Linked DNA regions of Sus scrofa. The protein of the gene in region 2 purifies or fractionates together with the protein of the main gene of each other region. This does not show direct contact. Links are inferred from orthologs where the notes say so. Each region holds a gene or a part of one and is shown on either strand. Other genes may lie near its edges.

Region 1 (4,997 bases), on a different chromosome or scaffold from region 2:
TTTGACAAAACACCAAGAGCCTGTGTACAGTGTAGCTTTCAGTCCTGATGGCCGGTATCTGGCAAGTGGTTCTTTTGACAAATGTGTGCACATCTGGAACACACAGGTATGTCTGATTTATTTAAATAGTCGAGTACACTTAAATTAATAAGCATTTGCCTATACATTTTTTTTTTTTTTTAATTTTCGGTTGTCATCCCTGTTGTGGCATTAATTCAAAAGGCTCTTAAGTTTTAAATGAGTACTTTTTTGGGATTTTACAGCTCAGTAAAGATTGAAACAAACTGAAGTTATATTTTCATAATATAGACCAGAACTTAGAAATAAATTTAGATTCTCTGTTTTACTTTCTTAAACAATTTTGCAGATAAAATATGAGCATTTAAGATGCATTTATGTAGATAAATGATATAATTTCCTCATTCTCTAAAAGAATTGTCTCTGAAGGAAATATATATGAGTAGTAAAAAAGAACATGTACTAAAGCATAAGGTTTTGTAACTGAACACATGATTTATCAGAAACAAACTTAAAACTCTACTACCTATTTAGTGACTGTGCTACAGAGATGCCTTCTTAAAAGTGGAGGAAATTGCTTGTTGCTTTCATATTTTTAATCTTCTCAGTGTTTCAGTTTTTATGTGCCACGTACTGTTTCTTTAATAGCAGTCATGTGACTCTCCCTGGCGCCACTGTTCACTCCCCCACCCCACGAAGATCAGATCTTTACTGGTTGAAGTGTACACATAATAATTTATTGTGGGCTATTTCTCTTTGTGCAGTTGACCATCATAACTCATCAGCCTATTTTGTGTAAATCATCATTTTAAAAACTATTTTTGATTAAGTTATACATTCAGATGGTCTTCAACTGCTCCGTGTCTCTCCCCCCACCCCCGAGCCCCACATGCGCCAAGACACACTGAGAAGTTTTGCTCCTGTTTTTTTCTTGGTCCTCTACAGGTAACTTTTACTAGTTTTGCTTTCGTTCTTGGTGAGTTTTTTTGGTAAATAAAAGCATTATGATTCGTTCATTTTATACTCCCATGGTTTAATTTTTTTCTTTTATGTTTTTAACTCCCTTAGAATTGGCTTTTGTATATGGTGTGAAGTTTAGTTCTATTTCATAATGTCACTTCTTTCACACATTAAGTCTTAGGTGGTTTGTTCATAAATTCTCTTGTATTCCATTGATTGATACATTTGTATGTACCTGCATTATTAGCTTAGTTTTAACAGCTGTAACTTTGTAAGTCTGTAAGCCCCCCTCATGAAGTCTTTTTTTTCCCCCTTTAGTAAAGTTTTATAATTTCTTCATAAATATCTTTTTTCTTAATTTATTCTGAGTTGCCGTATGGACTTTATTGTTACCACGAATATAGCATCTTTTAAAAAATATATTCCTTTACTTGCTGGTGGTTACTTAGTGGTGTTTACTCATTTGGAACATCATGAATTTTGACATGTTAATGTTGACTTCATCAACCCTGCTGAGCTCTCTAATTACTTCTAATAGTTTATATTTCCTTAGCTTTCCTTTCAAGGTAATCTTCCTGTTGTGACTGAATAGCAGAAGCTTCTTAGATATGATCTACAGATAATCTGTCTGTTGTATACATTTTCCATCACTCATTTACTCCATTGAGTAAATTAAGTTAAAAGTAAATCTGGGTGTTGAACTACAGAGTTCTGAGAGAAGATACTGCTAGACTTTTAAGGGCATTTGAGCAACTATCTATACTGTTTGGTTGTATCCCTATTGTAAATCAGTGTCGTTTTACTTTTAAGTTTGAAAATGGTAACATGCATCTTGTGAATGTTTAGTGCAGAAAAAGTCATCATGTTTTTATCATATATACATCTAGTTTTTTTCTTTCATTACTTGGATGATATGTTACCTAAGCATTTGATAGATCACAGATTTGAGTAGATGCTGAGGATCCTTTAGTATTTGTTAATGTGACAGCTCTGGCTTGTTGACCATGCTGTTTTGGTTCAATTACAGCCTAATTCAAGCTTAGAAATTGGTAAAAAGAAAGTATTAGTATGTTAACTGTTCTTTAGATTTTACTTTCTATTAGATTTTGTTGGCAACCACTCCTTTCTCTCCTAACTCTATGTACTTAAGACATACTTTACTCATACTTTTTCATTCATCTCTTAGAATGTGAGAAATTCTAGGTAGGGGGGAAGTAAAGCAGTTGAGCCTTCCTGGCTGTGGTCAGCTATAGCAGTGCATTTGTGATTTCTGCAGTATTACCAGACTGACTCTGAAGAAGAAAGCAGGGGGAAATGGTTTTCCAGTTTACTGATTAACTTAGGGCTGGCTGTCACAGAAGTTATTTACAAGATACATGTTTTGCTGCCTTGTTTTTAGGTAGTTCTGCTACTTTTAGTTTGAATTTTTTCAGTCACCATGAAGCTGGGGGATATATTTCTGGTTTGTCAGGACAGAACACCGAAAGCATATTTTTCATTCTTTTTCAGTTTCTCACATCAGAACCTCTCACTTTTGCCCTATGTGATGACTAGATTCCTAGGAGAATGCATTTGTGTATTGGTTTTGGTTTCTGTTGCTGAAGAAATAAAATAATTGAGTTATGATTCAGCTAAGTTGATGAAATTGGTAGTGTTTCTGGGTGTACTTTTTTTTTTAATTTATAACATCTTTGTGTAACAGTGTACATATGTTCTTTTAGCTTCTTTAATAATTCTCCTAGCCTAGAGACTGGCTACTCAGTAAATGTGCAATAGCTAACATTTTTAAACTGGAATTGCCTTTACTAGTTCATTATACTTCTTCCTCTTTAGGATGTTTTGTCAAAGAAATTCTGACAATTTTATTTCTCTGTGTTTGCTATATTCATGCATATTTAAACAGCAATAACAAAAATTTATTTCATGTCCTGCATAGAATGTTTACTTCTAGCCATTGTTAACGATGTCAAAGAGGCCAAAGACATCTTAGCTAAGAATGGTTATTAATACTGGAGAAACTGGATGTATGGGGGCAGGGCTGGGTATAGATAGAATGATCTGTTGAGAGCAGGCTAGTGTTATTTTTCTGTAAAAGCATCATCATATTATGTTTCTAGTATTTCAAAACTTGTGCTTATTTCACAATTGAAGCTAAATCCTATCTTGGATTGTTGGAAATAAAGACATGTAATATTCCTATCTTAGTATTTAAACATATGTAATAATGTATTTTATCATTTTTAAGATTCTGCTTTTCATTATTTTAGACAGGTGCTCTTGTTCACAGCTATAGGGGAACAGGTGGAATTTTTGAAGTTTGTTGGAATGCAGCAGGAGACAAGGTTGGAGCCAGTGCATCAGATGGTTCAGTAAGTACAATGAAGTGTTTCCAAAGGGGTGTGTGTGTGTGTGTGTGTGAGAGAGAAGCATAGTGAATAAATGTGGCTTATTGTGGTAGTGACTACGAAAGTGTTCTTTTTAAGATGCATTTTATGATATGGTATTGATCTTTTTTACTGAAGGCTCTGTACTTCTCATGTTCATTTAATTCAGATAACATAAACAGAATTTAAGCTCTTTGCCAAAAAAGTGCCTTCATAATCAATAAATGGACATTTATTTTTAGTGTAGACTTTCATCAATGTAATTACATATAGCAGAATACCACTCTGAGAGAGATTTGAAGTATTTTTTAATACTAGATTGGTTTGTTTCTTTGTTTGGGCCACCCCGAGGCATATGGAGTTTCTGGGCCAGGGCTCAGATCCAGGCCGCAGTTGTAACTTTAACACACTATGCCAGGCTGAGTCCTGGTGCTCCAGAGATGCTACCGATTGCTTTGCGCCACAGTGGGAACTCCGAGATTTGAATTTTTAGTGACTGTTTCTATTGTGTCTTCCTTGCAGAAGAGTGTTGGTTGCCCAGAAAAGGGGGAATAGAGGCAGTAGAGTCTGCATTGAGGAGTGAGTGATACTGAGAGACTGTCAGGATGAGGTTGGCCAATTCATTACAGAAAACTAGTTAATGGCTTCCAACATTCTGAAAGTAAAGGGAAAACAAAGAGTGTAACCATTCGTTGTTTACTGAGGCAGTAGCTTAATATAATCTGTAGTATCTTTCATTAAGGTCCAAGAGATAGAAATTGGTCTATTTTGAACATATTTTTTCTACTTTTTCATTAACAGACACTAAGTCTTCAAAATTTTAGACTTGGTTTTTCCCTCTCTAGTGTTAGCCCATGGTTATTTCCTCCATCTACTTTCAAACAATTTATCTGATTTCTCTTGATGCCCATTGCTATGATTACTTTTGTTTTACCAGTTGGTGAACTTGGAACTAAGAAGTAGGTTCCAAACTGTACTATAGAAAAATTAAACTGAAAATGTACGATGGAATTAATTCTTTACACACTGGTTGATTATTTTAATTTCTTACAGGTTTGTGTATTAGACCTTCGGAAATAGCGCTACTAGTTGGAAGCCATGGACCGACTATGAATGTGTACATAGCCAAAATGACTGTCCCCGACCCAAGTACTGCTATAGTCCCACTTGAACCATGGCCAGTCCACTACAGCCAAATCTAAGAGAAATATATACATACAGTGTATATAAACAAAATTGCACCCTGAAGATGACAGAATTTTGTCACAGCTTGTGAATTCTGTTCACCAAGTGCTGGAATCTAATCTGCTGTGCCCCTAAAATAGCATTTAGAAGTTTTGGATATGAAAAACAGAAGAGAGAAAAAGTATGCGTTATAAAAGCAGCCCATACATGTACCAGTTTTTGGATACTAATGACAGCCTTGTTTTTCCCCTTTGAATCAGCAGACACCATGGATTATATTCTTTTTTTCCCTTCAGTAGTTTAGCAGTTTGTATGTACAGAGAATACGGACTTACAAAAACTTGCAGCAGTAGTTTGTTCTTGCTTTTAAACTTTGTTTTTGGTTTAGTTTATGGATGCATGAAGTAAGGGAGTGAATCAGTTTCTTGTTTATATTTTTTTCACCTTTTA
Region 2 (5,564 bases):
GAGGTGCGCCTCACGGGGTAGCTGCTGGTCTGTGGTACGACCACAGCTGACCCTTGGACGTGTGGGGGTTGGGGTGCCGACCCCGGACACAGGTGAAAATCGGGGTCAGCCCTCCGTGTCCATGGTTCCACGTGCCGGATTCAATCAACCGCAGATCAGGTGGCACTGGAGGACTCACTGAAAAGAATCCGCGTGAAAGGGGACCCGTGCGGTCGAAGCCCCTGCTGTTGGAGCGTCACCTGCACATGATCTGCTCCGTGGGAAAGGGGAGAACCACGCTGATCCCCACATCTGCTGACCAGATGCCCACCGGTCCCCAGTGACACCGAGGGTCACTGCGGAGGCAGCACCTGTGGGGCCCTGGCCCTTCCTCCCGGGGAGTGAGCAGAAGGCTAGGAGGCGGGCCGGAAAAGGCATCAGGGACCACCCCGCTCCCCAAGCAGGCCCACCCGCCCCATCTCCCCACTCACACCAGCCAGGAGATGAAAAGGGCCGCGGGACCGGAGCTCCCGATCCTCGCTCGGTGACACCTCTCCCGAAGAAACGCCCGCGAACACACGCCCTGAGGTCTGTGAGCTGCAGCATCAACTTGACACAGGGCCCCTCTCTAACTTCAACCAGAAGATCCTCCACCTTCCTCTAGGTCAAGGCCAAAGCCCTGAGCCCCCTGCACGCCCCGGCACATCCTGACCGCCCATCGGGGACGGAAACCAAACCCCCTCCAGGCCAGACCAGCAGGGGCTGCGACCTGGTCCAGGGACCCGAGGCGCAGCCACAGCCCGAGGCCCCGCAGCCTCCCGGCGGCAGCAGTGGTCTTGCGCTCTCGGCATCTCCCTCGCTCCCTCCATCAGGCACTAATCTATTACTCATGGCAGTTTCTGAGTGATGAAAGCCCAGCCGTTTTCAATAGAGCACGGTATGGACGAATTCTGCAGGAGTGATGAAATGTTTCTTCTGCTCTGGCAATTAGGACGGCACAAAGTCGCCTGTCCCCGGTGCCACCCCAACATCAAAGGATGAGAATTCAAAGCCACTCATGCTGCATTGAAACCTCACAATGAAGCTGGAAAATGGAAGTCGATTACTGGACATAAATATGCAGTAGTTAAAAGGAAAGAGTTATAATGAAATTAAACTGCAGCAACCCCACGATGTGTGGAAACTTCCAGAACTCAAGGCCTCCTGGTAAACATGGAGAAGGGCACCCTCAGACAGCAGGTCTCCGACCACTGAGTCTGGACCTGCTCCCCAGCTGCACGTGGCCGGGGTGCCAGGCTGGTCTGTCCATCTTGCTACAGCAAGGGCCCCCACAGCCTCTGCGAACTGGGCATTTAGAGATTTTTTTTTATTTTGCATGGCTGTGAAGCTGCTGACCACAGAACATTCTCTCCTGGCTCACGGCTGCTCAGGCCACATCTGTCCTTGGTCCCCAGGCCTTCCAGGCCTACGTGCAGACCACAGTCACCCACCCCCCCACCCCCGCCTCCAACCTCCCCCATCCCAGGGCTCTCCCAGGGGCACTCGAGCTGCCAGGTCCCCTTGCAGGAGGAAGAACCAACCCTAAAGAGGGCAGTGTTACAACTGCCTGCGCAGAAATCCTGCTTCTTTTCTGATTGATTACTGCTCTCTTTAGGAAGGTTTCTGATCTTGAAAATAAAAGCCCAGAACACAGAAAGCTATAGAAGTCTAACAATGTGTCAGAGTGTGTGTTTTTAAGGCAGGAAAATACTTCCCTCCCACACAAATGTGAGTTCTGGGGAAAGATGCCACAGATCCCAGGGAGCAGAGTATCTGGGAAAGCTTGATCAGTCTTAAAAATAGACAATTGAACACAGATTTTAGAATTCTCAGGAGCTACCTGAAAAAAATTTAAACCCCACATATTTTTGATATCCAGAGCTCCATTCTGATGAAACTTCTAACAGGGTGGCATTTTGCATTTCCAATTATAATAGAGTAATTGTGTTGCCATAGTGACTGCAAAATTCTGCAATAACTTTTGTTGCTTTGTAATTGCTGTAGTGTATATTTGTGTACAAGCAGCTGAGTTTTCTTAATTCAATCTCTCGCCCTCCCCCCCCACCTTTCCTGGCCCGATCCTGAAACCACCACACCTGTGCTCACAGCTTTCATTCGCTTCACCGTCTCCGAAATAACGTACAGAATTATCAGAAGCAACGAAAACTCAAGGCAATCACGATCATGTTACAAAAGAAAAAGTGAAACCAGGCCAAGGTGCAAACCCACCAGAATTCCCATCCCGCTGGGCTGGCGCTGGGCGAGGGCTGTTTACATGTTTGCTCCCAGGCCTCTCATGCTTAGGTGGTTTGTGGGAATAAACAGAAAAGCCTGAGTAGAGAAAAGAGGGGGAAGCAAAGTAACTACCCAGGCCCTTTCCTCCCTCACCGAGGGCAGGCGGAGCTGCTGCGAGCAATTAGGTAGGTCTCTACAGTAATGCAATTAGGATTTAGTTAAGAAAGTCATTAGTTTTAAAATAACTTGAGTTTAATTTCTGCAACACTTTATTTGAAAATTGTGTCACAGCAGGTCAATTTACAACATGCAATAAAGCAAACACTCATATCAGCTGCTGCAAGTTATTACAAATTTTTGATGTGCATTAAATGAGTACACTGGGTCCCACCCCCGGCCTTTCCGACTGATACGCACGATCTCCTGCTAGAACAGTGTCAAATAATTCCACGCTAAATGTAAATACGAGATAATTTGCTTATAATTCCATGGTGTGTGCTTGCAACGCCCGGAAACGCGGCTCACATCCTCGGGGCAGGACGGGGCCACAGCTCGGCCTGTGGGAAGCCTGCGGGCACCCACTCGGGTCGTGAGCACCCCCACCCCTGCCGTTCCGGGCCGGGGCACACACCAGGCGACGGCGCACCCCGCCCGCGAGCCCCGCGGAGGGACGTTTTTCTGCAAACTCACAGCCTCGACAAAGTTACATAAACGGCGCCCGCCCGGGCTCGGGAGCCCCCGGCCCACCTGCCGAGGGCTCGGCCTGGACGGGCGCGGGCGCCCGGGGCCAGCCGGCCATCCTGCCCCGGCCGCGCGTCGGCCCTCGCCGGCTGGGGCAGCAGGGGAAGGTCCAGGACGGGTCCTCCCGCTCCGGACGCCCGCGGGCTGGCGCCACGCGCGGCCTGGGCGCACGGGCCGGGCCGGGCCGGCCGGCCGGGCGGACCCCGGCGTCCACCTGCCGGGGCCGGGCGGCGGGGGGCGTGGAGGCCGGCGGGCGGCCTGCGGGCGGGCGGGGGGTGGACAATGGCCCGCGGGCCGGGCCGGGGCAGCGCTTACCGCGGCGGCGGCGGCGGCGGCGGGCGCTCTAGCCCCGCGCGGGCGCTCCGAGCCGCATCTCCTCAGCCTGCGCCGCCACCACCACCGCGGGCGGCAGGCGGGCGGGCGCTCGGGCGGCGGCGACAGCGGGGACGCGGCCGCGGCGCGCCGGGCCCAGGCGGCTGAGGCGGCGGCGCGGGCGGGCGGGCGGCGGGCGGGCGCGCGGGCTCGGGCGCGGCGGCGGCGGCGGCGGCGGCGGCGGGGACGGTGCTCCGCGGCGGCGGCCCCACAACCTCCCCTCCTCATTCACAAAAAATTGACCCACGTTGAACCATGATGCTGCTCCCCCCTCCAGCACCGAGCGGGGCACTGATAGGCCACCGCCGACGCCCGTCAGCCGCCCCGGCCCCGCCCCCCGGCGGGCGGCTCTGCAGCCGTTGGCTGCGGCGGCTTTGCATCACCTCCCCTCGCGGGCCCCTCCCTCCTGCCGGGTTTCTAATGAAGAGCTCGTCAATTACGGCTCGGCCCCGCCCTCCCCGGGAGCCCGGCCGTCCTTCCATTGGTCCGCGGGAGCCCCGGGTACCGCCCCGTTTGCTCCCGCCCCTCGGCCAGCGGCCGCCAACCGCCAGGCCCGACGCCCTACGAACGGCAGGGATGCTCCACCCCTACCCGCCTTCTCCGGTACGTCCTGGTTCCTATTGGCTGCCGGAGCTGCCAATCCCAGGGGCGGGGCTATCAGAGGACGCTCCAGGCGCCAGCCGCTGGGCGCTTGGCGGTTGGGAAAGTGGAGAGAGCCCGGGCTTGTGGTGACTGTGAGCAGGGCAGGGGCTCTGGCGAGCTTCACTCTCCGGCCCCCCCGAGAGCTGCCCACGGTGGCTTAACAATCATGACCGCGGGCCTGCCCGCCTAGTGGGCGCAGACCGGGGCGGAGGCTGAGGCGGGGAGCGGGTTAGGCCCGGCCACAGCCTCCATCTTGGGTACTGGCAGTGGTCACGTGGTGGTGCCGCCTCCCGGAGGCGCAGGGGCGGCGCGAGAGGCGAGTGCGCAGGCGCAGCGGGCCCCGCCCTGCCCCGCGGCGGGAACGCGGCCTTTGGGGCTGGGGCTGGGCTGGCCGGCCTTCCCGCGGGCGTGGGGCGGGCGCAGCGCGCCTGCGCGGCTGGGAGGGACGGGGCGGCTGGCTCGCCGGGTGGTCCCAGCCGTGTCCGCCTCGCTCGACTCCGTCGACCAGCCCGTCTGCCTTGGGTGCTCAGTGTTTGAGGGATGCCGTGCTGGGGTGGTTTGTGCTGTCAAGCGGCCGCATGGGGCTTCGCGGAGGCCCTCGGAGACCCCTTGGGCCGCCCACCCGAAGGGCGTGGCGGGGTCTCCGGCGACCACCCCCTGGTCGTTTCATTTCCCAGCCTCGGTGCGCCTAACGTTTTTCAGAATCCCTGCTCTCCACCTAGTGAGGGAAGCACTGAGGGTGCGCGGATGCACGAGCTGAGAGCCAAGATGAGTGTTGAGACCTGGAGTTCCTGGAGGATGGCATCGTGAGAGAATGAAAGACTCAACAGTGGGTTCCAACTGCAGCACTTGGAGGTCCTATTTATGAAACACTTCCTTTAATAAGAGTGCTGTATGCAGTCCAAAGGGTTCTAGAATTAATTTGCTTCCATGAAACTTTATACCTCGCTGGACATTTGCAAACCTCTCAGGATGGTTCACAACCAAACACGTGACCACTGCTCAAAAAAACGTGAGCTCTAATAGCCAAATTTTGTTAAATAAGTTGTCTCTTAACCAAAGCAGCTTTTTTTCCTAGAAAGTAGAATGCGGGGTCCTCGTTTAAGAACTGCGTCCAGGAGTTCCCGACATCGCTCGGCGGTTAACAAATCCGACTAGCATCCATGAGGACACAGGTTCCATCCCTGGCCTTGTTCCGTGCGTTAAGGATCCCGCGTGGCCGTCAGTTGTGGTGTAGGGTGCAGATTTGGCTCAGATTCTGTGTGGCCAAGGCTGTGATGTAGGCCAGCAGCTATAGCTCCGATTCTACCCTAGCCTGGGAACCTCACTATGCCCCCAGTGCAGCCCTAAAAAAGCAAAAAACAAACAAACAAAAAAAACCCCAAACAACTGCATCCAAGGAGTTCCCACTATAGCCTCTCCGATTAAGCCTGGCATTGACTCTGGGGTCAGAGCCACAGTTTCTGTGCCTGGCCTGGGAACTTCCATATGCCCCAGATGCGGCCAAAAAAAAAAAAAAAAAACCTGCCTCCAAGAGTTTATTATCTTCAAATACC

What was found. The genes of interacting proteins can lie anywhere in the genome.
Region 1: the proteins of HDAC4 (region 2) and TBL1XR1 purify together in Homo sapiens (affinity purification with mass spectrometry; 3 studies listed by BioGRID and IntAct, with this or other methods). This does not show direct contact. The link is inferred for Sus scrofa from reciprocal best matches to the Homo sapiens genes HDAC4 and TBL1XR1.

Annotation. Positions count from the first base shown.
Region 1 is NC_010455.5:115,316,756-115,321,752, reverse strand, and holds part of TBL1XR1 (F-box-like/WD repeat-containing protein TBL1XR1), read left to right. Parts: coding exon 1-106; intron 107-3,245; coding exon 3,246-3,347; intron 3,348-4,415; coding exon 4,416-4,442; 3' UTR 4,443-4,997. UniProt on the Homo sapiens protein: F-box-like protein involved in the recruitment of the ubiquitin/19S proteasome complex to nuclear receptor-regulated transcription units. Plays an essential role in transcription activation mediated by nuclear receptors.
Region 2 is NC_010457.5:138,653,872-138,659,435, forward strand, and holds the start of HDAC4 (histone deacetylase 4), read right to left. Parts: upstream 3,396-5,564; 5' UTR 3,310-3,395; intron 1-3,309. UniProt on the Homo sapiens protein: Responsible for the deacetylation of lysine residues on the N-terminal part of the core histones (H2A, H2B, H3 and H4).